4 linked regions of the Oreochromis niloticus genome follow. The protein of the gene in region 3 interacts with the protein of the main gene of each other region in a pairwise test. Links are inferred from orthologs where the notes say so. Each region holds a gene or a part of one and is shown on either strand. Other genes may lie near its edges. The genes, in order: arih2, smc3, disc1 and sparcl1.

Evidence for each region.
Region 1: the proteins of disc1 (region 3) and arih2 interact in a two-hybrid assay, tested with the Homo sapiens proteins (2 studies listed by BioGRID and IntAct). The link is inferred for Oreochromis niloticus from reciprocal best matches to the Homo sapiens genes DISC1 and ARIH2.
Region 2: the proteins of disc1 (region 3) and smc3 interact in a two-hybrid assay, tested with the Homo sapiens proteins (2 studies listed by BioGRID and IntAct). The link is inferred for Oreochromis niloticus from reciprocal best matches to the Homo sapiens genes DISC1 and SMC3.
Region 4: the proteins of disc1 (region 3) and sparcl1 interact in a two-hybrid assay, tested with the Homo sapiens proteins (2 studies listed by BioGRID and IntAct). The link is inferred for Oreochromis niloticus from reciprocal best matches to the Homo sapiens genes DISC1 and SPARCL1.

The regions. Positions count from the first base shown.
Region 1 is NC_031984.2:25,584,397-25,591,850, reverse strand, and holds the start of arih2 (E3 ubiquitin-protein ligase ARIH2), read left to right. Parts: upstream 1-4,437; 5' UTR 4,438-4,538; intron 4,539-5,989; exon of another isoform or gene 5,990-6,147; intron 6,148-6,224; exon of another isoform or gene 6,225-6,499; intron 6,500-7,454. Other genes in the region: xpc (DNA repair protein complementing XP-C cells), read left to right, coding at 1,182-1,313, 1,438-1,607, 2,207-2,300, 2,545-2,877.
Region 2 is NC_031971.2:30,160,585-30,167,800, reverse strand, and holds the start of smc3 (structural maintenance of chromosomes protein 3), read left to right. Parts: upstream 1-4,207; 5' UTR 4,208-4,395; coding exon 4,396-4,410; intron 4,411-5,077; coding exon 5,078-5,153; intron 5,154-5,284; coding exon 5,285-5,323; intron 5,324-5,431; coding exon 5,432-5,499; intron 5,500-5,760; coding exon 5,761-5,832; intron 5,833-6,429; coding exon 6,430-6,509; intron 6,510-6,607; coding exon 6,608-6,686; intron 6,687-7,047; coding exon 7,048-7,165; intron 7,166-7,216. Other genes in the region: dusp5 (dual specificity protein phosphatase 5), read left to right, coding at 369-588, 2,629-3,035. UniProt on the Homo sapiens protein: Central component of cohesin, a complex required for chromosome cohesion during the cell cycle. The cohesin complex may form a large proteinaceous ring within which sister chromatids can be trapped.
Region 3 is NC_031978.2:23,847,426-23,854,864, forward strand, and holds the start of disc1 (disrupted in schizophrenia 1 protein), read left to right. Parts: upstream 1-4,434; 5' UTR 4,435-4,476; coding exon 4,477-4,585; intron 4,586-6,696; coding exon 6,697-7,439. UniProt on the Homo sapiens protein: Involved in the regulation of multiple aspects of embryonic and adult neurogenesis. Required for neural progenitor proliferation in the ventrical/subventrical zone during embryonic brain development and in the adult dentate gyrus of the hippocampus.
Region 4 is NC_031971.2:19,486,310-19,494,147, forward strand, and holds the start of sparcl1 (SPARC-like protein 1), read left to right. Parts: upstream 1-4,837; 5' UTR 4,838-4,984; intron 4,985-6,038; 5' UTR 6,039-6,040; coding exon 6,041-6,094; intron 6,095-6,222; coding exon 6,223-6,288; intron 6,289-6,390; coding exon 6,391-7,428; intron 7,429-7,838. Other genes in the region: scpp1 (secretory calcium-binding phosphoprotein 1), read right to left, coding at 68-121, 688-735, 1,084-1,137.

The sequences.
Region 1 (7,454 bases), on a different chromosome or scaffold from region 3:
GAACGGCACAAATCCGATATTTTCAAATCCGATCTGGGTCACTTTCGTATGTGGTACTGAATCCAATACGTATCCGATGTTTTAGAAAGTGACTGCTGTGTGAACAGTCAAGTCGCATTAAATCCGTCTTTTACGTCACTGACACAAGACAGACGCCAATTATCAGCGCCGGAGAAGTGCCCGATAGGACATCGCGAACGATTTCCTACCATCCGGTGAAACTGTTGGGAAGACAACGTTGGAGAAATGTGAACATTTTATTTTTACTGTATTTTCTGCAGATTCTGACAGAAATCTGCAACTATCCTTTGAAGCACCGCTCCTCTAAAACAGCAAAAAGGATCATTATTAGGTCATCTACATTATTATGTAAATAACAAAATAACTTAAAGCAAAAATCTGGAAACATAAAGTCCGAAGTCTTTATATTAAGAGCAATCAGTCAAACAATATTGTTTGCTCTGGGTCTAAACAGAGCGCGTTGTGTGTGACATCTTCCTTTGCGCATGCGGGCCGCTTTGAGCGTTCACACTGGAGAGCGTTTGATGTCGCATTTTATGTGTAGTGTGAACAAGCAGACAAAAAAATCGGATTTGATCAAAAAATCGGAATTGAGCATTAAGACCTGCAGTGTGAACGTAGCCATAGAGCCAAAGCCATACCGGCTCAGACATTGCCCAGCTTAACAAGGTCCACATCAGGCGTTTGGGAACCAGGACATACTGATGAAAAGTGGGCAACAGGAATAAAGCATACATGGACAAGGACTAATAATATGGAATTGATGGAATGCTACCAATATTGCTCCCAGATCTTAAACCTGACCCCATGAATAAACTGTTATTGCTACGGATATATTTGTCTTGAAGAGCGACTGATGTAATTATGAAATGATATAAGGTGTAAAATCTTGCAAACCTTTCCTTTCCTGTTATTGATGTTCTGCTGAGTGCAGATGTATTGAATTCTTCTTGTAGCACTGATGCTATTAAATCCTAGTTCGGCTTAATTGGATCAATTCGATCAACGGCATCGTCAAGGTGACAGGAAGGGGGAATCATAACAGACTGAGGCTGCTTTTTCAGCTAGATCGTACTGAATAGACACACAGATAATGTGGAAACACGAAATGCTTTGGTGACTTTATGAACTCACAATATAAACACGTCTTTTCCTTTCAGATGGTGAAGGGCTTCTCTAATCGTTCCCGTAAGGCCAGGATGATGTCTGAGCTGAAGGATGAGAATGACCTGGCTCTGTTTGGAGAATGGCAAACTGAAGAGTACCAGCCGCCGATAGCCGTGGATGGGAAGGTATCTGTGTGTGTGGGCTTGAGCATCACATTCAGAAGATTAAGCGAAACAAAGTTTTATGAGCAGCATAAGAACCAACAGGATAAAGTGTCAGTGTCATTGTGTTTTTGTATGTTTTCCTCAGGTCCCACGTAATGACTACGGTAATGTCTACCTGTTTAAACCCTGTATGTTGCCGGTGGGCTGTGTTCATATCAGGTTGCCCAACCTGCACCGCGTGGCCAGGAAACTGAACATTGACGCAGCGCCTGCAGTCACAGGTTTCGACTTCCATGGAGGATACTCGCACGCTGTGTAAGATGACTCTAAGGAGCCTTCGGTGGGGTGTAAACACAATTAAGCAGATGGATACGATCATACAGGAGAATCTCATGATGAGCAACTGCACTGAGAGTTAGAATTTCACAATACTGAGGGACTTTCAAAGAATCTCATATTGTGACAGGACGTGTCGACTCCTGTGTTTGATGCATTTTTTGACCCATGCACATCATTATCGATTCCTAGACAGACTCATTAAATCGTAATATTTTCCTAAAAATCAGTTTGTGTTTGTTTTCTACTTACTCTCACTCAGTTTTAGTTGTGAAGGCAGATACTGATAACAGTATCTTTAAATTTCAATCACAACTGTGTGTTTTTTTTTGTTGTTGCTTTTTTGAAAGCTTAATTAGTTGCTTTCCAAATTTAGCCGTATTGTTTCCAGCGAGCTTATTTTCATCTCATTAGTTGGCTTTGGGTAAAATCCCTGTCTGTTAGCATTTGCATGGAATCATTTCAGCGTTTAAAATAAAAAGATCAAAGTCAGCATGTTTAGAAAGAAATGGAATAAATGCACTTGTTACAAACATGTCAAAGCTAAGGGGATATTTGCTTACTTGTGTGTGTTTCAGCACTGACGGCTACATTGCATGTGAGGAGCACGAGGAGGTCCTCAGAGCTGCGTGGGTGGAAGAACAAGAGCTTCAGAAACAGAAGGAGAAAGAGGTGTGTGTGTGTGTGTGTGTGTGTGTGTGTGTGTGTGTGTGTGTGTGTGTGTGTGTGTGTGTGTGTGTGTGTGTGTGTGTGTGTTCTTTCATATCACTAATTTGACAATTATTGATTACAAGCCTGTAAGATTACCAGATTATGTAGTTTAGGTGGGAACTTTAACATAAAGTATCAGCTATTACTTCCAAGTAGAAATCTGTACGCAACAGGCTTAATTTTTTTCTTTTCTTGCAACATCTAGAAAAAAGAGAAGAGGGCCATCTCCAACTGGACTCTGCTGGTGAAAGGACTCCTGATCAGAGAAAGGCTTAAAAAGCGTTACAACAAGAAGAACCAGGGATTGGGGAGCCTTGCTCATGGAGGTGACGCCGAAGGGTTTTCCTCAGATGAGGAGGCTGCTGAGGTTGAAAGTCCGGGAGCTAAGACGGCATCCGAGACTCTAGCAATGTCCTGGCCTCAGAACAGACAAGCAGAGGAGGATGGTGGAAATGCCGGCGGACTGAAGAAGAAGAAGGTAACAAAACGAGAGAAGAAGGGTCAAGAGCAACATTTATTCCCCTTTGAGAAAGTGTGATGTTGGAGACCACCTTCAGGTTTTTGTAAAACAAAGATTGATTCCATTATGCTGTTAAAGAAGCACTTCACTGACTTCTTGCAACATTTAGTTTGGAAGATGTTCACTTCACTTCAAAGCAGGATAAACTGCGTGGGTCACTGAAATACCCCGGAGCCTTTGGAAGTAATGCTGGAAGGAAAGGAAAGGAAATACGGGAAGCGAGGAGAAGGTGACGACGTAAAGCATCACTGTTCATAGCTCCATTTTGGTGTACACTGTATTATAAGATTTTTATATGAGAACTTCATGGACATACAAAATGACAGTAAGAGGGGAAAAAAAACATGCATATGTACAGCAACAGTGTAGGTTGTCATGGAGACTGTGGAAGTGCCCTTCACATCTTCATGTGTATGAAGTGAGTATTAGGCACTGATATCAGGTTTAAATATTCAGTGCTTCAAACTTTGACCAGTACAGACAGGTTTGAACCTGCTGGGCACATTAATGTTGGCGTTTAGAGCTTATGCTGACATGAACAGATAGCTTGTGTGGCAATTAAACACAATACCTCCGGTGCTAACACTACAAATTATAAAGAATAGTAAAAATAAGCACACAGCATCTGTGCTCCTGTCAGCTGCTGCTGTTTTATCACATTCATGTCGGCAGTTTTTTCCCCAACCTGCAGGTCTGACCAAATAAGAGCATAGCTTCTGTTACTGGCTCAATGTAAATGTTTTGTTTTTTTAAAAAAGAAAGTCATTCCGTTGATTTACTTTTGTCAGCTGATTTGTTTTAATACTCACATTGTGTAAAGATCTGACAGAGCCATTGTAAGGAACCAACCACTGTGCACATTTAAGTTGATCTATCTGACTCTATGGATATAGACTCCTCATCTAACAAAGTATATGCAGACTATATGACAGTTTTTAATGAGTGTATAACTTGAAAATCACTAAAACTGTTCTTTCATTTTTGATTTATCTTCAGTGCTTCACTTCCTCTTTGCCTGTTTAGCAGGAGGTTTGCTTATATCTCCTCTTCTCTTTGTCATTGTTTGCATTCAGTATTTCTTTTACACTCATCTGTTTTACATATTTGTCACCATTTTATAACTTTTGGCTGTATATAATTGTTTCCGAAACTGAAGAAAAGACAGAAAAGAAATTACCATCCACAAGTCAAAATTTCAAGTTTAAATTTTAGGATCATATTTTCTTCTAAATTTGAGTTGGTAAATAGAAATTTTGAGATGCCTGACTGTAAATTGTGAGAATTGTGAGATGAAAAAAATTTTTTTGTAATTGTAGATTTTCCATACTACATGTCGTCAAACCATTTAAAAATTGCCAATTGTTCTTGTATGAAATTTATTTTTGTAATAAATGTTCAAATATCTTGAAATAAAAAATGCTGTAGTTTTCTTATAGATTTTGCTATCTATACTTGTTAATTGGACACTTTTATACATCATCAAGATTGCCCCATTAACCACCTTGAAATGGTGAGTAAACACAGGTGTTACTAATCCCATATTAATTATGTTCTTGAAGGTTCAATTGTATTTAGGCACAGAGTCTTGATCACTGTGAACTGCCTGTGTTTACCTACAAAAGGACTGCCAGAAGATGGCCTGACTTTGGCTTGCCTTTCTCTCATTTTCTTATGAAAAGGTAATGATTGTTTACGAGGTTTTTAGGTAGAGTGCAAGGCATTCCTTAAAAGTAAAGACAACATCAGTGTAAACTGCAGAGGTAAAATGTGTCATGTTGCAGCAGTAACAGCTGACTGAACATCAGCTCCATTAGAAGATCCATCTTCTTCCTCAGCAATTCCACCCTATTACCAGACCATTTCCCTCTGGGGCTTAGCCCTCGACTTCTCTCAGGCACTGCTGAGAAGCACAGCAGAGGATAATGCATAGTTTATCAAGCCATCACTCCTATACCTTCATAGCAAAAGAACTGTAAGTGTAATGTTTCAGTCTAGCTGAAGAGCTGCATTAGACTGCCTGCAGTTACAGCTTTAGGAGGAATGGAAACAAAAGCAGGAGCAATTTAGAAATGCAGCTTTATGATGCCAGGATGTATTTGATACCAAAGATGATGAGTTACTGGCACGAAAGGATCGAATTTCATAAAGTGACATTCGAGGATCAGGATAAACAGCACACATATGCACATACATTCAAAAAATATATACACACACAGACACACTCCTGCACTGCCGCTGCACGGCCAGTAGGGGTTGTAGAAGGGCGTAAAACTCGAAACACGTTTAACACAACGATACTCAATTGAAAACCCATTTGCTAACAGCAGTGGAGGAAGTATTCGGATCGTAAAGTACTCGGGTGCAAGTAAAAGCCTTCTTACAGTTACATAGATAAAAGCAACCCGTGTGTCATCGCCAAAGTACCACTAATAATAAAAAAATAAGTACTCCGTGTGGGAAAATATTTAATTAGATTATTATTGATCGTGCATTAATGTAAAACAGGCTTGTGCTTTATAGCTAACAGAGGCAATTTCTAGTTGCAACAAATGGTTAATAAATACTGAGAAATATCACAAGTACTCCGGTTGATAACAAGAGCAGTTGCCAGTTTTCTATCAACCTGGCTCAATTACGAAGGTAAATATGTTGCACTGTGTGAGAACTTTTATCTTGTACGCGTTTGTAAAACATGAAGTTTCTAAAGGTAACTATTTTTTAGATTACTGAACGGGCATAAGGAAACACAGTCTCAGACTATACAGTTACTTATGCAATCTTTATAACCTGGATGGGATTTAGGTGTCACGTTATAAGAGCAATATGCCGGGAGAGAATTTTCTATGTGTGTAAACCATAGACTGTATACAGTGGACATAGGCTACAGTATCCTGAGAAATTTGAATTTAGAATGAATCCTCTTTGCAGCATGAAATCAATAAATCAATCTCTCTGCATAGTGAAGGTCAAACATCCGAGGAAAATTATATTGATCAAAACATGGATTTAACCAGATGTATGTTTGGAAGAAAACAAAACAAAACAAAGCAGACATTTGGTGCTTGAATACTACCGGACAAAACAAGAAGTGCTGCATCTTTCCTTGCAGAGAGAGAGAGAGCAAGGCTGCGAGAGAAACGCGGACGTGACGTCACTGTTAAGTACCCCTGTAACGGTCTATCTTCCGCCTACCAGCCAAGCAAAAGAGTGTAAATCGCTCTTAGGATTTCCTTACTCCAAATTCGCCTCTGGTTGTCACCGCGGGCTGGCTTGACTCTGCACTAAGAGGTAAACCCCACCGACTTTAAACAGTGGAAATTCACGCAGCGGTTGTGTAAACGTGCCTCTTTGCTCCCGAGCTTCTCCAGAGGCCCTTGTTTACATCTCGATCCCCGGACTAGAGTGGATGAGAGGCGGAGGCACAGCGGAAGAGAATGGGGAGGAGGGGTGGCTACCTGGCTAGCTCTTATGTTGTCAATTCTAGTGGGGGAACATATTAAAAGTGTTCCTTGAAAACTTTTGCAAGTGTGTTATGAAGGTGCTCAACAGTCGTAACTCGTCCGAGTCGTGGGTTTGCAATTGCGTGACTTCCTCTGCTCAACAGAAATACCAGCACGCTAGCCAGCTAATCCAGCTAACGGTAAGTTAGCCAGCTGTTGTGTGGATTTAACTTCAGAGGCGCTTTGAGCCGAAACGCTGAAGTCCAGGCACGACCGGGTGCTTATTTGCGTGATTTAATCTCGACTCCCCGCTACCCTCATCCTCCCACAAGACCTGTTATCAAACCTGTGCTGAGTCGCTGTAATACATTAGCCTAGCAAGATGTGTGTCACCCAGTTTGCTGCCTATTTTTATCCTGGATCGGGCGGAATGCGAGCGTTCGTCTGTCTGCCGGGGCCGACTGGCAGGCTTTCCCGGCTAACCTTGTTTTCTGTCCAGTGGATATTTACAAAGTCACATTTTGAACACCGGTGCCAGCAGTCGTCTTTGATCCCGTGTCTGTTGAACAAATCACATGTCGAAATAAGCCTACTAGAGGGGCCTTTGTGCTGTCACTGTTTTAGTTATCCTCAGTGTATTTTCCGTTCAAGAGTGGGGGGATTACTTTGTATTACACGGCGAAGACACACGTTTTCTCAAGAAGTAACAAACGCAGGCTTCTCGCCCATATTTTTTTAAAAAACCAAAACAACACGTCAGGTTCTGTGCAGTGTCGGTTTTAGAAAGTAAATGCAGTTTGTATAAAGCATCTGTCTGTGTTAGACCCCAACCGATATACTGGAGGTCCAATATTAGTGGCTAGAATTAGGTAGGAGTTATCAATGCGTATTGGTGTTTATAATATGGAAGCTTGTTTCCAGCACTGATAATGAAACTTTGGGGCATTGTCTCAAAATTTGTAGCTGGGAGATGCTTAACTTGAACTTATGATATGACCTGAAATGATGGCCTAGCTGTGCCTGGCCCAGTGGTGCAAACAAGCTTGCATATTTATGACTCATAAATGAAAATGTAAAAAGTAAAGAAGAGAATGGTGAAACACCCTTCGCCTGTGTTATGAGTGTTATCGTTGCATAGTTTGATCACCCGAAGGG
Region 2 (7,216 bases), on a different chromosome or scaffold from region 3:
GATGCCCAGCTGATATCAGGACACCCCATAGAAAAGACAGCCTTTCATCCCTGACCTTTCTGCTATTATTTCCACTGGCTAAATAGAAAACATGTGGCTAGTTTAGATTTCAAAGAGCACTCTGTTGTGTCTGGTTGATGCATTATGGGCTCTTTCAATACCGGGAAATTCCTCTAGCATCCTGCGTCCATTTTGTCTGCAAATGACTGTAATGATCGGCTGGCAGGTGTTTGGATGTTCCTGCTTGGACAATGGTTGTGTCATAGCAGATGGATAAATGCTGGCGATCCCGTGTTATGTTTCCTTAGTAAGCTGTGTCTTGTGAGCTTGACTCATGTCTCTGCTTTCTCCCTCTTTTCCTTCCTCAGGGTAAACCAGTAGAGATCCTGCCTTTCCTCTACCTCGGTAGTGCCTACCATGCCTCCAGACAGGATTATCTCAGCGACCTTCATATCACAGCCTTGCTCAACGTGTCACGCAGGGACCTGCAGCCGGCCAAGGGCCACTATGACTACAAGTGGATCCCTGTGGAGGACAGCCACATGGCCGACATCAGCTCCCACTTCCAGGAGGCAATAGAGTTTATAGGTGAGTTGAGGATAGTAAATGCATTTAACTGTTGATTTCTGCTTCACAGGGTTTGCCTTGAGATGTTTTGCTATCTTAGAATACAGCTGACTCACTAATACTCAAACCAGCTAGGAAAGGGAATAAATAGACCAACATTAGATGGATGTTTTTCCGGCCACAAGATCAGCCTCGGTCTAAATGTATTTATAATCCAGCTTCACCCCAAGGAGTCTCAAAAATACCCACCCTGAGTGAGCGAGATATCTATACATGGATGCATTTATTTTTGAAATGCGTCTTTGTCTTCAAATAGCCTCCCTTTATCGCTGCCGCTCACCTGCTGCCATTCACAAATAGAGGGCTATAAGAAATCCGGCTGTAATCAGTTTAAGTTAATCGCCAGCCTTCAATCCCCCACCAACATATACTGCCTGTCTGCTTTCATTCAGGATTTGCTCACTTCCCCCGTTCCCTTCCGACCTCCCTCCCTTCTTTCCTTGAAAAAGACAATCCCATGCTGTCGTTGGTTCCCAGGCCAAATCACACGGTGCCGGGTGTGGCCAGTCAGTGTGACAACTGGGTGAGCTGTACGTGTTTAGTAATGACCGAGTGGAGGAGGCTGGGGGCTGGCTGGCTGGCATACGTGCATGCATACACAACAGCATTGTTTATGATGGTTGGGTGGAGGATTAATGACAGCTACACAATGAGGGAGGACATCAGTTTTTTTGTTTGCAAGAGGGACTCATTGGCGGACCTGTGGCCCACAGGGCAGCAAATGTGTTACAGAGGAAAAGAGAGTGCGTGGGAGGGAGAGAGGTGTCGGATAATAGCAGCAACAGCAAAAGATGTACAAAATGTGCTGGCGGCTATTTATATCCAGGCATAACCAAGGACAAAGCTCACCCACAAGCAGCTTGGCTGACCCGTATTAGCTGGATAGTATTGTGCATTGTTTGGGGATGCAGCCTACATTTAGGGTGTGTTTGAATAAGCCTGTCCATTACATAAGGCAGTTTTAGCCTACATTCAAAGAGGGCCTCAGCATTTCATCAGGCATGCCAACTGATTAGACACGCAGTACAAACAGATCCTCTGGCCTGCTGGTCTCATAAAATCAATCAATAAATCGGAAACCCTTCCGACCAAGCGGGTGATGTAAACCAGAGAGGAGAAAATAAATTTTATTGACCTCGTGGATGAAAACAGCTGCTGAAGCATGCCATGACATCTCCAGCCAAAGGACGGTAATTAAAACACCCACTGCTGCTGCTGCCCCGCTCTCATAGCGCCCTCCTCTCCAGATGAAGGTTCATTATTCATTCATGTGGTTTTATCGAGAATCAGAGCAGTCAGAAATCAGCCATTCTCCTTCATAAACGCACAGAAGTGGCCCTTAATGTCCCTGTTTAGTAGACGAGGTGATGTGTTGGTGTCGTTACCAGCTCGTGGAACTAAGTGTCAATATGTAGATCAGACTTAGATGCGAGACAGAAAAGAAGACATGTGGGTGTTTGCTTCTAAGAATTCTTGAAACGTGTTGCGAAGGACATTTAGACAGATGTGTGAAAGTGAACTCGTGTGTAGGCCTTAAAACATACTGATGAGTGTGTAGGAGCGAGGCGGCTCCAAATTAGAATACACTTCTCTGTGCCACAGCGAACACCACAGCAGCACCCAGCACCCCCCACAGTGGTGCAGCAGAAAAACAAATCACATGTACAGCTGCACTCTGTGACTAAGTCAAGCCTCCCACGTGTCTCTGTGTGTGCCACTTACAGTAGCAAATGATGTGTGCTCATTTCGTACTACAAAATAAATGGCAAACTAGATGTTCATGAGAAAGAAAGAGAGATAAAATATTTGGGGAAAAGTGTTTATGTAATATAGTGAGAGTGAACGACTAGACAATAGCCCAGTTAAATTTATTTCCTGTTCCAAACTCCTGATTTGAAATCAGTTTGATGCGTGGTTTTCTTATGCTGCGACAAATTTGCCGATGATTAAAGAAAGAGAAATATGCCACGGTCTCACCAGAATCCTCCCTTCTTCTTCCAGATCATGTGAAGCAGTCAGGGGGGAAGGTCCTGGTACACTGCGAAGCAGGCATCTCTCGCTCACCCACCATCTGCATGGCCTACATCATGAGGACCCAGCAGCTGCGGCTTGATGCAGCCTTCGACATCATCAAGCAGCGCCGGGCAGTCATCTCACCAAACTTCAGTTTCATGGGTCAGCTGCTTCAGTTTGAGTCCGAGGTGCTGTCCAATGCACCGGTTCATGCTGCCACACCTGAACCGGCCACGCCCTGTGTCTCGGAGTCCGCTTCCTTTTTTGCCAATGACTTTGCCACTACCTTTAACACCAAAAACTTTGAGCCGTCTGTGTTCACCCTCCCTACCTCTTGCCTGCAGTCCCCAGTCCACCACCAGTTCAAACTGAGCCCAATAACTGCACTGCCTTAAAATAAACTGTGACTGCTTGTAGTCTTACTTGAAAATATAAAAATCAACGCTCTCTCTGTGTGCCTCGTGTTGAATACGGCAGAGCAGATAGACTGGAGATCAGCCACAGACACAAAGAAGAGTCAAAGACAACTGTATTCATAATAGGACTTGAAGCCTATGAAATCCATGGGCTAGAGACACTGATGCTTTTTTCCTGTCTTCTGAACTGCAGTGATGAAACAACACAGCACAGTGATAAACTGCAATATACATGCCTTAGGTTGATATTGTGATTCATTTGCCTACTCACAAACATGGTCAGGCATTTAAACCTAATTTATTTGAAAATGATGGTCTGTTTTTTCAATAATGTGGATAAAAATATGTGTTTAATAAATGTTTTCACTGCAAAAACATTGTTGTCGTGTAATCTTTTATTGTGTATTTGGCAAGTGCCCTTTTTCATGCAAGCCAACATAAACCTCTTCATAAAAACAAGACAAAGGAATGACCAATATTTATGGGTTTAGATAATAAATCCTGTCTAGACAGGCATAAATGCAGCAGTAGAAGCAATAGTGACACCTACAGTGGCTTAGAGCTGGCCCTTGTGACTAGAGGTAAATTTAGATCAGAAGCCTTGCATCTGTTTCTTACCTATAGTCGCCTTCCACATAGCCGTATTTTTTATGCATAATCTATGAAAGCGATGAAACATGTCGCTTTCATAGAAAACTTAAACCAATGTTAATCTGAATTTTGAAACATCAACTCCTAGAAAATAATTAGTCAAAATTACTGTTACAAAACTGTCTGCACTGTGTTATTTAAAGACACTATAAATAATTTTGATAATAATTAATACAATAATTTTGATCATTATTAACACAGTCATTTTTTTTGTTTTTGTTTTTTACCGCTTTTAGTCTTATATTTCCCACTGCTGCTCATCAAAACAATTTTGGCGCCCAGAGCGCAGCCTGCTAGACTGTACCAACTAAACAAACAGAGAGGCGAATAAACAGCAAGATTAAAAGACCTAATGTTATGTCGCAAACATAACCTAACCGTAGATACACATTATATTATTGTTATATTTGAATTTTTACCTTTCATATGAATTATTTAGCTTCCCCACATGTAGGAATATAGTGCAAGGATATCCCTACAACCTGGTTTCACAAATTGGTATCATCCATTCTATCCCGCCCCCGCCGCCATTTTCCATGTTATTCTTTCCTGCCTTACAGTATTTTATGATTTTTAATGCAACAGTTTGATTGTTAAGTTTGGATTATTATAGTTGTGTTTTCTCCAGCTTGGCGCAGGGAGTGTTTCATCTCCAAATTTGCAGAGGAGACGCCCTGGATAAGCAGCCATGTATATTAAACAGGTAAGCTAACGAGACCAGACTGATACGTGTTGCCGACTGTTACTGGTCTAATAACAAGAATTAGGCCAGCTTAACGTTTTTCCACTGAATGATAAATATATTGCTATTATACTTTGAGTGAGGCTTCACTTCACAAAGTAACGTTGATTGGATTGCAAAACTGTGCACAGGCACTCCATAAATGGCAAACGTTGTGTAGCTATCTAGCTAACGTTAGCTAGCGCGATTTGAATTAGTGTAGAAGTGAATTGCCCGTCCCCTTCTCGAGATGCTAAGCTAACGCAACTAGGCCAGCCTTAGGTTTTCTGATTTATATGCTTCTTTTCATTGTTGTTATAACGTGTAATGTTGTATATGATGCAGAATACGAGAGTTTATTGTATAGTTGTCGGCTAACTTGGCATTGTTGATTTCAAGCCTTCAAAAATGTCCTGAATGAAAGTAGCGGTAGACCATCAGAGTGACCATCAGCCAAGGCCCCGTTGCCTCGTTTTACCTGTGATGGTGCTATTCAGCATAAACAGTTGACACATCTTATGTTTAAAAATATTCATAGACCCGGGAGCTCTTTGACCATGTTTACCTATAGTATGCGGTTAAAATGTTGCACTGAAACAGCTGATGTTGTAGTCGGTGTGTTCACGGTGGTCTCTGGTTCCCTGTGCAGGTGATCATTCAGGGGTTCCGAAGTTACAGGGACCAAACTGTGGTAGACCCCTTTAGCCCGAAGCACAATGTCATCGGTATGTGTTCATCCACATCTTTCCATAATTATTTTGTATTGCACCTGAGTTGCTAATCAGGTTTTTCGGATACTTTGTCCTATATGTCACCATATCCTCATTTTGTGTTTATTTTTCCCTTCATCTTACAGTTGGGAGGAATGGATCAGGAAAAAGTAACTTTTTCTATGGTATGAAGCCTCAAAACTTGCTGCAATATAGAATTCAAACATTTAGACTTCAGTGACATTGCTGGTTGTTATCTAAGACTTAACTTCCGTCTCTCTTTTTTTTTTTAGCCATCCAGTTTGTGCTCAGTGATGAATTCAGCCACCTGCGACCTGAACAACGCTTGGCCCTGCTCCATGTAAGTACAGGAAAATGTGAGTCCCATTACTGGGAACATCAGCCTTTAGTGGGAAGGTATGAATGCAAGCATGCTTGCTAAATAACAGATTACTCTCAGTCAAAATCTATGCATTTTTCTACCTGTGCCAATTGGCAAAAATGTTTTTTAAAAATTAACTTTTATCACAGTGCGGGTGATTTTGCTTTAGCTTTGACTAAAATCTCTTTGGTAGATGCCAAAACCTGTGTGTAAAAAATCTCTCTCTCCCTGTCACTGTAGGAGGGAACTGGTCCACGTGTCATTTCGGCTTTTGTGGAGATTATATTTGACAACTCTGACAACCGACTGCCGGTAGGAATGGCAAACATTTCAAATTTATTCTATTACTGTATTTTCTGCTTGATTTCATTGTGGTATTATTTAAACATTTACATAGGCCTCTCAAGGAATATGTGTGTATGTGTTAAATAAACGGTCACTGAGCCGCTTGTGGCTAAACGTGTGTATGATCATATAGCCTTTTTTCAGTGCTGATATTTGTTTCACAATTAAATTTGCATTATTGTTTACATTGGTTTGTATCAAAGTAAACCTCAAAATAAAAAAGGAAAACACAATAAACTAAAGTCAAAACAACCAGCAACATCAACCCTTTTATGCTTTCTTTTGTAACAAGACTCTTAATCTTGGGTATTAAAATGGTGAACATCCTTAGTCCAATTTAAGTTGTTCATGTCATATTGAATATTGAAGTCTCCTGGTGAGAACTGTTATGAAGACCACTGATTGCACTGCGTTGCCTTCAGTACACACAGTCCTTCTTATTCTGATGATGAAGGGCGGATGTCTGTGAAATGTTGTAGCCTGGTAATACTGTGGCATAACCTGCCAATTATCCTCCTCTGTGTGACTCTCAGCTTGCCCAGTGATAAATGCATCTCTTTCTAGATTGACAAAGAGGAAGTCTCCCTTCGTCGTGTCATTGGAGCAAAGAAGGACCAGTACTTTTTAGACAAGAAGATGGTGACGTAAGTATTGTGAGGGATCAGCTGTCCATGTTAAATTTGCCATGTTAAAATTACTGCATGTGTGATTCCATCTATTCTATGCACTCTTCTTGTTGCAGTAAGAATGATGTCATGAACCTTTTGGAGAGTGCTGGCTTCTCTCGGAGTAACCCCTACTACATTGTCAAGCAGGGAAAGGTGAGAGAGGAGTGCAGTGCCAGGCTCACTTTTTTTTTTCCTTTTTTTTTTAATGCACAGTAGTTTTGGGTGATGTGAAATGAATTGCATTCTTCAAGCAGTGGTCATTGGGTGAGTGTTTCTAGTTGAACAGACAGTAAAACAGTGTTGTCCTCGCTATTTATTTACCTTAGTCTGTTTTGCAAAAAACTAAGAGTATTAGTAGACTAAATAATTGATGTTAATTAAAAAAAAGATAATCATTTAATCATTAATTAATTATAATCATTATCATTATCATTATCATTTATTTTCTGATAGGAATATCTCAGAGGTACACCAGATATTTGGAAAATTTACCTTATGTTACTGTTTTGTGTAGATCAACCAAATGGCCACAGCACCTGACTCACAGCGTCTAAAGCTGCTGAGAGAGGTGGCAGGGACACGAGTATATGATGAACGCAAAGAGGAGAGTATTTCCCTCATGAAGGAGACAGGTAAATGCTTTTGAATACCTTTCATTTTGTACAAACATTGATTGGTTGATT
Region 3 (7,439 bases):
GTGGAGGAGGAACATGTGACCTTTGCACATTGCACACCCCTATTCTCCAGCAGACACACACACACATACTCACAAACAACCCCTTGTCCTAGATTTGGAACGAGAGGAGGAATATTCCTGGTAGAGTGCTGATATCATGCTTCACCTCATGGTGTTTGTTATTGTACGGTGACAAATGAGCCTCCATGCTAAGAAAATAATGATAGCATAGTCTGTCGTTGAAAATAGATGCCTTTATTCACGATGGGGCCAAAACAATTTTATTGCCAGATTTCACCTCAGAGGAAATGTTATTTTATGATTCACATTAGTCACCTTTAGGTCTGTATACATATCACATTTTGATCTCGCATATATTAGAAAAAAACAAAACTATGACAAATTATATTTTGTAAAAACAATTTAGGCTATTTGTAATTAAGTAACTATTTTGTATTGATATGAACTAGATCATTTTGATGTGGTATAAGTTTGTCCCTTTTTATGACTGTAATAGAGAGAGTCCAAATAATTTAGGTCTGCCATCTGCTGGGCAATTTCAGAACTATGTATGCAAACAGATACATGTAGAGAGAAAATAAAGTTTTGGCCTCCTTTTACACTCCAAAGCCAAGCCATCCATTTACAAAGGAGATGATCAGCAGCCAGAGGTTAAAGAGGGGGTTAAAGGTGGGACCGGAAATTATAGCAGGCGATGATAAGGGGGCCTAACTCCCCATTTTCCTGTAGAAATAAAGGTCCTCTGCTTCACTGTGAATATATAACTATCTAAATATAAATAATACTACATGCAGTGAATGTTTGACTGCATGGGTATTTGTATGAACCTCAGTCCGCTACTTACTATTCCTAACTGCTTTACTTTGTACAACTATAACTATAATATATCACAGTGGTTCCATCTTGTGCTTAAGTCCAGCTATTATATTATTACTGGGTTACTACGTCTCCTCCTAATTTGTGCAACAGGCAACTACGTCTCCTACTGTATGTAGTTATTACATAGGAGGCCTGTGCACATTATAATCAGTGCAACGCACTGAATTTTTTAAGTTATTTTTTTTTTAACCTAAAATGGTTGTTCGGACTTTAGCGCCCCATTTATATAAATAAACAAATGAATAAATAAATCCTGGAACAACTCTAATCCAGAGATTTGCTGTAAGTCTACTATCTGGACTATGGCAGACCAGAAACCACTCTTAACATCTTTGTCAGTAAGTGCTATAAAACTTACAATGATTCAGACCTTTGGCTGGGATCAAATGACTACTCTCGTGGTCATGCTTAAAAACTTCCTGGTTCCATATAAAGGAGAAAGTCAAAAAACTGGCATGGGCTTTTTTATTAGGAGAAAAGAATGCTGTGAAATCCACAATTAGACTATTTAAATGTGATACTATATATTTGTGTATACAGTGACATAAAATCTATTTATATGATGCATCAAATGAATATTTTGTGAATACGACTAAATCAGGAAACACGTAGCATATGGTTGTGGTTATGTATGAAATCAAAGTTGGATGTAAACGTGTAAAGGTTTGATGTAAAAGTAAAAACGTGTACACACACTTTTGGGAAATGTAAAGAAAAAAAGTTGCTTCTTAACTTATTGTAGTTGATAAACTAATATATTATATCTGTGTGAAGTCTGACATCTGCTGGTCAAAGTCAGCAACACAGCTACGGCACTGTAAAAATGCATTTGATGGATGCATTGAATGCATAGCTGATGAAGGGAAAGAGCAAGCTAAACCTAACAGAGCAGGAACTAATGTGCTATTAGTCAACAACTACGTGTTTATCCTTTGATTAATTCATCTTTTATCCTTGCAATCACTCTTTTCCTGACTGCTTAATTATTTCATAAATGCCCTCATACATAGAACAGATGTGATTACATCATTTTTATACGTTTCATCTGCTCCCTCATAGACACCGTGTGTAATTTTAGCATCTTCTTTCTGGGTTTTTCACATAATATGGTGTTTCTTATGTCTTAAAACAAGTCATCACAAATGTGCCCTGTCCTTTTAGATGCAGTGGCACAGAGGTAAGCCAAAAACTAAAACTTGAGAGGTTAGTCAAAGGGCTTCTCCTGGAAACCAGCCAGCCTGTGGGGCAGTGCGCTGATGTCAAAAATGCATTAAGGGCCTCTAATCTTTAACAGAGAGCAGGTGATGGCACTCTGCATGCCAGGCGACGTGTTTCATCCCTGCTCTTACCCTAGCTGCGTGTAAGTCCTGCATTCTGTCTGTAGAACAGAGCTTTTTGTCTCTGAGTATTGTTCATGAGCCAGGCGAGCTGAATGAAAGGAGAACTGGGATGAGTGGTGTGTGAAGGGGTGGATGAAAAGACTGCGCTATGTGAGGTCTAGGGTTTGGTGCTCACTGCCGAAAGAAAGAAACACATTAAGATGTGTAAGGGAGTAAAGACCTGCTATACTGTGATTTAAATGACTGAATCACACGCTTCCTGTGTGTATAAATTTGAACTTAATAGTATTTGTGACTTAATAGTAGAGAGGTGTTTTTTCCCCCCATAAATTTCCTCCACAATCTTCAGTGACACTAAAATACAGCACATATAAACATAAAGATAAACAACAGCGTTGTTTAATCCGGTTCCGTGTCCGCTGCTACTTCCACAGTGTGCCCGCTGTGGTTATGAGGCGGTCTGAAGGAGTCTGGAGTCAAATTCCTGAACACGTAAGAGCTCCAACGCGACGCATGACGCAAGGGCGCAGCGACTAACGGATTACTGATCAACTGATCGATGTGTCGACTAACAGACAGATTTGCCTGGGCTCTGTACTTCTGCCACTGCACACCACCGCTGGTTGTGTTTTCCATACTTTTCCCACAAGGAACAGCACGACGTGAAGTCCATCTTCTTTCTCCAGACCGTCAGTTCAGGCGCAGCGGGACCCACTTTTTTCCAACAGGGGGGAGAAATGTAAGAATCTGATGTACCATAAATGTTTGTGTCAAGAAATTTTCATCAGGGACAAAACAGCGCGCTGGGAAGCCGTTTTCACCCGTCACTCACTGTGTGCAGTGAAAATATAGCAGCCCGGGTTCACTTTTCCATAACGGAAATGAGATCAGTCCCTTTGCCTGGCTCCACTTCTTCTAAAACATGGTCGATGTAACTCTATGCAGGCTTGTGCCACCGGGGTCTGACTTTCTTTGACTTTTCAACACAAACAGCCTTTTTTTTAATGGAAAAATGTTCGCTGGACTGATGGGACTGGAATGCCACAGCAACTCTCTACTTCACCGCCGCGAAGCCATTCAAGGTAAAACACAAGATTTTTAACTATCAGCTGATGTTCTCACACTAACACTGGTCTTTTACAGGATATATATACCCCCCAGGAACTACATACAACTTTAATACACCGAAATTGGATAAAATAGTAATATTAGGATGTACTAAGCCGGCAGTTTTTAGGGAGGGATAATCATCAGATGATTAAACAAAAGCAGAACAGCCGCAGTGAAGACTCATAGCCTGTTTAATAATGCATTGCCCGGAATGTGTATGAAAGTTCACAGTTCCCTGGATCATAAAGGTTTAAAGTCTCCCTACCAGTCACTCTTGGATGAGTAATGATAGATGATGAGTTGGAAATGATTAAATACTTAAATAATATGTTCCTCACCTCTTTAGACAAAGTAGAGAAGCATTTTCCTGGATATTGTCTCTATTTGGGTCTTTTAACATGTTTTACACAAATAAAATGGGCTTAACTAATAAATAGAAATGTGATCCAAGTCTGTTCATGCAGGATGCCGGTAATCAGACCTCCATTAGACCCATTTATCAGACTGTTATGATCTCGCTACATGCAACAGGGTAACTGCTGCAGTTAAAAGGCTGCTAGATGTGGCAAACCTTAGATAAAAATCTATTTCCCAAAGTGCTTTCGAAACAGCTTCTGCTGTGAGTAGATTTTTCCCTGGTCTCTGGTTTCTGTTGTGTGACATTTTTGAATGAATCTAATCTACAAAAAATATCAAAATGTCTATTAAAGAGTACGTGCAGTGTGTAAATGAATCTCTATAACACAGACTCAACTGATCCTCATGTGATTACAGTCTGACAAGAGCATAGCAGAGACGCAATCCTTGGAATATCCCCACCCTTTAACCTACCGTGCAAAATGGAGAGATAAGGGCCAAGATTTAGGACCAAAGATAGGACTTGGCATTGGAGCATACTGTATTGTTGGGTTTTCATCCACTTATGTAGTCATTTCTTTAGTAAGATGAATAGATATCACTGCTAACTTTCACTTCCCCTTTTTGTGACGCTCTGTTTGGTCACAAGTGGCGAGGTTTCGCACATCTGCCGAGCAGTGCTGCTTCTCAGGAGGTTGCTGACATGCAGATCCGCTTGTGTGTGTGTGTGTTGTGTGTGTGTGTGTGTGTCAGAGGGTGCTGAGCTTGTTCCTCAAATGTTTGTGTTTTTATGAGATCCCCTGCATTCCTCTCTGTCTTTGGCTCAAGCACTTTCAGTGCCCAACTGGATGCAGTGTTTAACCTAAGGGTGCTGAGGAGGGCCTCTTTAATCTCCAAAGGTAAATAATCTCGCCTCTTCTGGCTGACATGCTTCTTTTTCTCAGGCTCTCTGCACAGTTTCTTCAGCACTGATAACATGCTACAGTGAGAATGCTGTCATTGTGGCAGAGGGACTGTTTTATCTTTGGTGTTGAACCACAGAACGTCACTGCTTGCTTGTTTGTATTTTCTGCCTGAATTCCTGGCGAACTATTTTAGCTCAAAGCCCGACAGGAAGTAGAAAATACCTCTGAGGGGGTTCAGCCAAAAAATAGATGCCCCTCTGACACACACACAAGCCAGCAGACACAAAACAATAGGCCCCGAGGCATTTCCTTCCCCTTAAACCGGGAAGAGCTCTCTTTGTGTAATCGAAGTATGGCGAGGATACAGTAACGTCCCTCTTCTTTTGACTGCTTAGTTCTTGATAGAAGGCTTAGTATAACATCTAGCCACACCAGATGGTAGACAGTGTGCGGTTGTAGCTGTAACCCACAGATAGTGTTGGGTTTCTTACATCAGTTATGGACCAGTGGCCACGTCTGCAAGGACCCTCTAATGGACCTGTGTGTAACCCAAGCTTCGGTCCCAGTGGACAGAAAGCTCTAAGTGGCACACACACACACGCACAAACAGAAAAACACTGTGTCTACAATGGGAGCATCCCTGTGTTACTCTCACTTGAAATACTGCTATCACTGGTCTCTATTTGAGTCTCTTACAGTCTCATGGGATAGTTTAGGAGTGGCATCGTCGAGGTTACTGGGTGTTGGGAAGTGGGCTGTGGTTTGCTCATCGGTCATGCTTTGTTCAATGCCCCGCATTCCTGTCTTGATAATTGTGCTCCCACTGCAAAAAACACATTATTTGTAGAGGTTTACAGTTGTGTAAGATGTTGTTTTTATGTGTTTGTTTGCGTTTTCTACTTTTGGATTTGTTTTTATCGTAGTTAAAGCGTTTAACAGGCTTTTACACTGACAATAGTACAACTGATCCCAGTGTTTTCAGCACTGTCAGTGTGCCTCTGTGTGACTTCAGTGTTCGTGAGTGGGAGGAGAAAGCAAGAGCCAGAAGTGAAAGAAGGAGCAGCGCAGCTGTACACAAAGGGGCTGTTGATCCCCAGCGTTTGAGCGCGCCTCCTCGTCTGAATCCTAAACATGATATGTATTAATCACGTGGCCCTGCAGCAGGTGTCTGACTCCCATCACAATCTGGTCTTTATCATTACGCTCCACTTTCAGACCAAACGCTGTTTGCATGCATGTTTGTATCACTTCTTGATACTAAGATTGGCAGTGTCTGTGCTTCACAAGCTATTTCGGTTACGCCCCCTTTACAAAAAACATGGATTTCGTAATAACTGAAAAGTTTTGAGACAAGCCACCTCTTCTGTGAGTGCAGTCCAAGTGGGTTTGATAAAGCGAGGCTAATCAGTATTGTTTTAAACAAAGGTGTTTTCCACATCCTTCAGTTCATTGCTTTGGCTGGAAGACTCACAGGTTTTAGCACCCCGTCAGAAATAGATCTCAGTTAAACTCTATCAGCCTTATTGCTTTAAGAAAAAGAGAGAAGCTGAATGGTTATAAAAACAATAGCATCATCAGTGCCGGTTTGTTAGTGGACCAACATGAATCAGACATTGCCTGTGTGCCCTTTGCCCTATATTTCAGTGAAATAGACCGATTTAAGGCTCCAGATCCAGGTGTGAGCCCCCTGCTATGCTTTGAGAACCTGCCCTCTGAAGAATTTTGCTATTTGCAAAAATAAAAAAATGCAAATCTAACCTCAGAATATATTGTTCATGCATCTGGTATCCCACAGAGAGGAATGTCTTAACTTATAAATGACTGTGCAGCTTTGGTATTTCCCAACAGCTGGAGCAGAACCCTGGGAAATGTCACACATCTGCCCAACTTTTTTAATTCAGTCCATTAGGCACTATCTTTAAAGAACAAGGTCATTTTGCTGGATCACAGCTGCTTCGGGTACTTGTGTAATTAGCACATGTAGCATTACATCTTCCTGCTGTAGCTGATGATTACATGGTTAATCCTACCAGTTCTATGAGGTCATGCGTTATCTTCCTCATGGCCATGTTGTCAAGCTTAATGGTTAATCTCTGCATCGACAGGTGGCAGAGCATCAGGGACAGCTGGCAGCTCCAGCCGTAAGAGGCTCCACCGAAGACCAGGGTACATGAGAGGAGAGCAGTGCAGACTGCAGAGCGCCACTCAGGAAGAGGAGGAGGATGTTGGGACAGCCACTTTTATTACCAATGGAAAATCAGGATGTGACGCTGATATAGATGATGCAACTAATGCTCAAAGGCCAAGTCCAGCTGCTGCAGACAGTGTGTCTTTAATAAATCATCAACAGCCTGATAAACACACGTGTAGCTCCTGGAAGACTCAGAGCTTTGTCTGCTCTGTTACCCACCCTCCTTCCCCTGTGAACTGCAATTCTAAGAGTACATCCAGCCATCTGGGCCAGTCCTCACTGCCCCACAATGAACTCAGGTTAAGTTCGAGCCTGGACACTCATTCAGAGCCAGAGGACTCTTTTAACTCCAGCTTCAGTTTCATCCAACAGTCACTTACCTCCAGCCAGAAAACAACCGCCACACCCACACAAGAACAAGAACTAAGTTCATCAACAAAAGCATCTGACCTGCCTCAGACAAAACCTGAAACCTTACCTGTCGAGCACAATTTCCCTAAGCAGTCGTCTCCTGCTCAAACACTACCTGGAGGAAAGTTTTGGCGAGAATGCCTGTTTGCCGCCCACGTAGAAAGATCCCACGTGCCCGACTGTGAGGCCCAGTCTGTTGATATAGAGGTCACCTCCTCACTCTCCCTGGACTCGGACAGTACCTCC
Region 4 (7,838 bases), on a different chromosome or scaffold from region 3:
CAAATGTGATGGAAAGAGTCAGGAAAAATAACCATTTACTCATTACTGAAATAAATGTACACATTACCTGAAGCTCTGAGGTGTCATTTTCAGACGATTGTGAAACAGACACACTTTCAGTCTGGAAAAACAAAACAAAGTAAGGGTGGAGAAGAATGTATTTTAATTATATGCTAAAACTGCAGCATCAACAATCATCATTCATTTAAGATTTCATTCATGTCAACCCTTGCTTGGGTAAGCTATTACTGCCTGAATGGGTGCAGACATAAAGTATAGTAAACAATAGTTTCTGAAATGGGAATCATCTTGAGGTCTGGAGAAACTTCCAGTACCCACGCCCATTGTTAGCTTTTTCTGCTGACTGTGTTCGAGGAATTCAGCTTTACTTCAGGCAGACTGTATAGTTTAGTAGTTTATGTATAGTTCCTGAAATACACTCAAATGTATAGAAGCTCAAATGTATTAAAAGAAAATCATTGCCAAAATTTAAACTTACTAATTCAAACATCTGAAAAAACTTGAATTTTTAAATTATTAAGTTAAACTTTAAATTATTGGTGGAATTATTTACTTTCTTTTCTCTCTCTCTTTCCCAGTAGCAGAAACAAGGTCCATACAAATGTGATTTGGAATTTGGAAAAAAATTATTAAAAAAATTATTTGTGATTTGAAAATGCTACTTACTGAGTTTGATGCAACCTCGCTTGATACTGAAACAACAGTGTGTAAAATCTGTCAGAATGGAAACGGAAAACATGGTTATTTAAAGGACAACACTTTTTTAAATTATTATTTCTAAAAATACACATAGTTATGACATGCCTTAGATGCATGTTACCTTATTATTTTACTAATAGCAAGTATTATTAAGCTTATTTGTACCTAGTATTATTTATTTTTATGTTTTAACTGTGTCCTTGAACCTCAGTAATTCTTTCAAATAAACAAAAATACACAGCATGCTAGACGGGAGGATATTTTGTCTATCTGAAAGTTATGTAAAAAAAATTATGGTGAAAAAATATTTCAAATTTTAGACCGCTTTAATAATTTATTGTTGTTTTCTGCTTTCATACTCACCGGGTTGGAAAAAACTGTTCCAATCAGGCAAAATGTTATGATGGGAACCTTCATTCTGTTAAAATAAGTATCAAATTATTATTCTCTTTAAGTTCAGTTCAGTTTAAGAGTAACTACTATGGTGCATTAACAAAAAACACCTCCCCCCAAAATAGGGTCACATCAATTTACTCTTGGGTTTAAGCTTCTAGATGTTAAGTTACTACAAACCAAAGCGACAATTCAAAACTTTCAAAGGTGTTATCACTAAAGTAAGAATTGTGATCAAAAGTAATAATAATAATAATAATAATGCATAATTGTTTACCTTACTTCAGTTGGTTTCAGAGGTAATGTAAAAAGATGCAGCTGGTGCTCCTCGTTCAGTCTATAAGGAGAATCCGGAGTCTGTCCTGAACCTCGAATGGAAGCTGGTAGTTGAAGTAAAAGCACGATGCGTGGATATGCTGGAGGGAACTCCAAGGACTACTGTATATAAGTATTCTCATTTAAGGTGATTGCATCACTTCCTTCCGGACGTGTCTTTTTTGTCGTCATGCGAAGGTGTATTTGTTCCGGAGAGGGAGTTCAGAAAACACACAGTGGCGTGATGATGATTGTACACACACATACACATACACACATACTGTGCGCTCTTTTATTCAGTCACCAAATTTCCTACACCCCCTCTCACGTCTTTAGTGAAATATAATTTAGGTAACTAAACTATAGGGTTTGTGGCCTGTTAAAAAAATAAACTCACCCACTCAGAGAGGAAAAGAGGGCTAGACAGTTTCATGCTTGTTTCCGGTGAAACTTTTTTTTTCCTTTTCCCCTCCTTCCCTTTCTATTTGGAATTTTGTTATTGTCAGATGATGGATTATATGGAACAGGTCATAAGTAGTATAAGTGCAAGGGGCATAAAGTTTTCAATATAAAGTTGGTTTAAATTGAGAAAATTAAACACTGCCTTTCATAATACTTGTGGCAACATCACATAAGTGGATTAACACACCCCCACACATATACACGCACACTATGACAAAGTACAATATTAATTCAGTCTATTAAAACAAAAACAAACCATATTTTGCCTTCACTGCTAAACGATGTTATTGGAAATTGTGTTTTTGGAACATTAAGCATGTACAGTATGTACAAATAAAGGCTTCTATATATTTCCATCCTGTGGCATATAATCGCTTCCTGGATATACTTATATGGCCAGGCCCAAAAAAAGCTTAGAGAATTCCTTGTTTAACCTCACTTTGGATTTCAGCTAAGCAAAAGAAACCTGTAATTAGACTGAATGTTCACCAGTCCAGCGCTATCCACCAAAACCACAGGGGAGGAGTGGAGGAGAAGATGATTGATGCTTGTTGTGATACGCAGACAGTCAACAGTGTCTGCACGTTCACCCTAACGTTACTTAAGGTTTAATGATGTAATTATCTTTGTCAGCCAGGCATTTGATGCATCTGTGGTATTAATATTCTTACTGAAACTAGGCATTTGTAAGACTGTTAATTTAGAGGTAGTACACCAGCGTGACCCTTGAGATTGCGTGCAGTGTAATAATTTTCTTCTATTTTGCTTTTTTTTACCTAAATATGTTTGAATTGGTTGCTAATTATGGGGAAACAGTGGAGTAATGCAAGATAGTGATGAATAGTGAAATATGATTTTACAAAAAACAACATCATGATATCATGATGTTGATGCTACATTGTGCATGTTTTACTCAGCTTGTATAAAATAAGATGACATCTTTCCATAAATGCCTCGTGGAACTGACTGATTGATTTACAACATTTTGTAATAGAAATCAAAGCTTGTGCTTCCCAGCTTTGATGAACAGTCTAACAAAGTAATGTATTTTTTCACTGAAGAGGCTTGTGTTTAAAGCTGGTGTGTTGATTCTTTGAATATCAATTAATTAAGGTAAAACTGCAGTTTCTGAGCGATTTTGTCATGTCCTTGCTACTTTCATCATTTACCCTCATCATACTGCAGTTTCTTAGCCTCTTTAAGAGTACAGACTTTAGTTTTTGTGACATCTAGTGGCCAAAATTATGTATTGTTTCTGTCCTAAAACAATGTGGTCATGTTGGTTTGGACTGGGTTCATTCTGCCATAAACAACCTGCTCATAGTACTTTTCAAATTTTCACAAACAACAGTAACCAGAAATTATGTTCATTATGAGGCTTATCCATCCATTATCATGGGTACATTTTTGTTATACTTACACTTCTTTGTTAAATAATCCAGTTATTTCCACAGCATACCCCAAAGAGTGCAAAATCCATTCAATAGAAAGCTTAATGAGTACTTCAATGATTGTTGAACTATTTAAATGAAAGTAAACGTTTGATTCATTATTTTGTCAGGTGTGCTATACAAAAAAAAAACCAAACAAAAAACCAACGTGTCACTGAAGAAATACTACACATCTAAACAAGCATGTTTTTTTATTGCAGGGGTGGGAGACTCCAGGCCTCGAGGGCCAGTGTCCTGCAGGTTTTAGATTTCACCCTGGGTCAACACACCTGAATCAAATGATTTGTTCATTACCAGGCCTCTGGAGAACTTCAAGACATGTAGAGCAGGTAATTTAGCCATTTAATTCAGCTGTGTTGGATCCAGGACACATCTAAAACTTGCACCGGCCCTTGAGGCCCTGAGTTCCCCACCCCTGGTTTATTGAGTCTATTCATACGAAATTTGAGGTTTTCTGTCTAACTCATATGGAAATCTGAAGTTTGAGTTTGATAATGGGTTTTCTGTTGGCTGATGTCATCAAGGATGAATACAGCTGACAAACAAAGTAACATAAGTGACAGGACACACTAGTAGAAACATAGAAGAAGTAGCAGAAAATTATTTTCTCTCAGTTTTCCCTAATATAAAACCCTTCTCTCAGGATCAGCATCATGGTAAGCCCTGTACTGGTGCTTCTCTTCAGCAGATGATAAACTCTTTGCAAAAACAGACTTTGTACAATTCTAAAATGCTGTTTTAGTCAATTTTTGGTTTGACCTTCTTTAGTCCTCAACAGGGCCTGAACTCTCTTAGACAAGCTTTCTTGTCATTTCGTCAAGCAGTCTTCGGGAATAGTACTCCAGGCTTCTTGAAGAAGAAGCCTGGAGTACTATGATGTTGGCTGCCTTTTGTTCTGCTCTCTGTCAGGATGAGCTAACACTGCTTCAATAATGTTGAGGTCTGGGATCTGAGGAGGACAATCCACATGTTCAGTGTTCTACAGTGTGTTTTTGTATACAGATATGCTTTTACTGCAGCAGTGTTTTTGGGATCATTTGCTGAAAAATGAACCAGATGGTACTGGATAGTAGGTCGAAATCTGACAGCACTTTTCTGTGCTTGTAATTGGATTAATTAGATTAATCCCCAACACCACTGGCTGAAATGCTGCCCAAACCATAACAGAGCTTCCGTAGTGTTTAACAGATGGCTGTAGACTCTGTTGTCCCTCTCTCCTGAACTCCTCTATACATGCATGCAAATTAAAGAGCTTATCTTCAGTAACAAAAATTAAACCTGTCAAAATCTGTTACGAACCCTGGAGCGTTCTTTTTAAAATTTATTGTCATTTTTTGGGAAACAGACACACTGCATATTTTTTGAAGTTGATCGCCCAACAGAAGCTCAGTGTGGGAGTGGGATCCCTTTGTCTGCCTCTCTCTTTATCTCTGTTGCCCAAAGGCCCTCCCAAAGTTAGCAGTGGCATCCTAAACCCTGAAAAAAAAACTGTATGTGTGTCTCTGTGTGTGTGTTGCATGCTTGGTTTGTGTGGACAGAGTGTGCACTGTCTTGAATACAAAAGGACATCTTCACAGGCTCAGCATAGGCACGCTCTGCTGTTTGTGCGGGATACTCATTTTTCTTGCGACTGCCAGCCTCAGGTAAAATTCTAATTCCCGAGACACACAGAGTTTCATTTCTCATTTATTTAACCTTTATTTATGCAGGTAGTTCTACTGAAGCTCAATGTCTCCTTTACAAGACAGACCTGTTTCAGACACACATATTACAATTACAGCAATAAAATAAACAATACAATAGCTAAAATTAATAGTGCTTTGCAACTCCATTTATATATAGCAAAACAGTGATGTGTGTTTGACATTCATCTTGTTCAGTTACTGCATTTAAACTGTGTGTGGCAACTGCTGGCTTGATTACTTAGGGCCACAATTTTATGCTGGTGAGCTTTTGAAAGCGATGCTTTGTTATTTTTGTAGAAAGTGGTAGCACTAGTTAATATACACTCCATATTTGGAAGTACTAATTTGTTGCATTTTAATTTAGAGAAATATCATATCTAAATGTTTTTATAATGTCTATAAATTTTTATTAAAGATGTAGCAATCATGTAATAGAGTAGTTATAGTAGTGTCTGATAACTTTTAAATTATTCAAAGTATAAAGACTAATTTATCACTTTGGTGTGTACACCCTCTCTCGCCTGCATTACATTCAGGTCTGAGAGCTGTGCTGAGAACTATTTTACCAGACAGACCCAGTAATGTCTGTGTCGTTGGGCTCCAGAGACACAAAAAGTTTGTGGACTTAGTCAAATTTTTCCAGTCTGGTAGCTTCTGGTGTTTACTTTAGCTCTGAATGTGACTTTTGAGAGCGAGGCACATATCAGAGGCCTGTAACCTTGGCGATAGTGGAGGCTGGGCCCACAGCTCTGCTCGTCATGAATGTGCTGGCAGCATACAGATGCATTCAGTTGTTTCCACTTTGAAAGATGTGCCAAGTTCACATCTTTGTTGTGGAAATGGAGAAGCCAGAGTAGAATGTATTGATAGATCATGAACAGCTTTTTAGCCTTTAGTGTAATAATTTTCTCAAATATTCAATTCTGTGGTGGTTTCAAAATCTAAAAACTTACATGTTATCCATTTTTAGACAGTTTATCCAAGGTTTAAATGATTAACTTTGATCTTACAGGTATGAGGGCCTGCTTAGTATTCCTTTGCTTACTGGCAGCAACATTTGCTCTGTCTGTGAGTAGCAAAGTTATTCTTCTTCTTAAATTGATGAGCAAAAATGATCAAATACAGAACTTGTCAAAAACATAATATGATAATGTGTGCACCACACAATAAAGAGAGATCTTTCTCATTATCTTCAGGTGAAAAGTAAACCTCATGGAAAGCATCATGGTTTGCATAAGAGTTTGCACACAGCCAAAGAAAAGGTACAGTAGCATCTTCTTCATCTAGAGTTTTAAATTCTAATACTAAATATATTGTGTAATTTTATACATTCAGTAAATATGTTTCCTTTTCTCCTGATTAAGGATGCTATCACAGAGGAAGCCAATAAGCCAAAGATCTTACCCACTTTAGTCACATTTGAGGCCAGCAGCCAGGAGCAGGAAGACGAAGAACTGAGTTCCGAAGACAACGCTAACAAGGACGATGGAGAGAGGGCTGAAAAGCGAGAGAAAAGCAGTGCAGTTCTGTTGAGTGAAGAAGAACTGGTAGACCTCCTGACGAAAGAGGCTGAAGAGGAAGATGAAGCTGAAGTAAGAGAGCTGGAGGAGGAAGAAGTAGAGCCTGACAAACGCAAGGTTGAGTCTAGTGAGGTTGTTGAGGTCACTGAGGATCAGGAGAAGTTGGATGAGAATTCAGAGACAAAGAAACATTTGCTGGATGGGGAAGAAGTGAAGGAAGACAGTGTGGAAGATGTGATAGAGGAGAAGGTCCAGAAGATGACCCATTCAGAAAGGAAGGAAGAGCCTACTGAAGCACTGCTAGAGGAAGATGGCAGCACAGAATCAGTGATTCCAGTCGATCTGGACTATGCTGCTGATAGTAGCCTCCTACAACCTCTACAGACTGCATCGGCTAATGACAAAACCCACTCAGATGACACCAAGCCTACTTCAAAAACGGACATCAGACAGAAAGAAACCAGTGGGAAAGAAATGGCCAAAATTACTGATGACTATGAACAAGGCATGCAAAACACAGAGGCAGCACACAGCGAGGAGGTGTCTGATCAGACAGAGGACGAAGATTTCTCAGACCAAGACGTAAGCGCCAAGAAAGAACCTGAAGCAAATGTGGACCATCCAGAGCCAAAGGGCGATGCAGAGCTTGAATTGAGGGCCACTCTATCTGGAAAGGAGGAAGAGAAGAGTAAGAATGTGGGTGGAAGTCACACTAAGGGGAAAACGAGGAAGCAAAAGAAAAACCAAAGGTCAAGGAAGCACTCTCCGGACAGGGAGGAAACACAACCCGGACAAGAAGAGGGCCGACAGGATCCTGAGTCTGAGAGCAGCAGCACTGACAATACAGACCAAAAGACAAAGAGGAGAAGGGCAGGAAAATGGGTAATGCTTATATTACCTATATTTTCTTTCTTTACAGTAGATTATCATTATTATTATTTTGGCCTTTTAGGCATCATTGGATAAAGACAGTATAGAAAGACAGGAAAGCAGGGAGAGAGAAAGAGAGGAAGACAAGTTTAGACTCAAACCCGGGCCTACTGCTCTCCAGCTATATGACATATGGTCACCTGCTCACCCACTGAGCTAAACCAGCACCCTGCTTATCATTATTTTAAACTTACAAAGGTTAAGATAACTTATAATCTCTTGCCTTTAGTCAAGAATACACAAAGAGTTACTGGGCAATCTCAGTGACCCTCAGTTATAAAAAATGATTCTGCTGATTATATTGGTTTTGCAGGCCACAATTTTCCTGTTTTTTCTTAGTCTCACCACTCCGCGGTACCTCT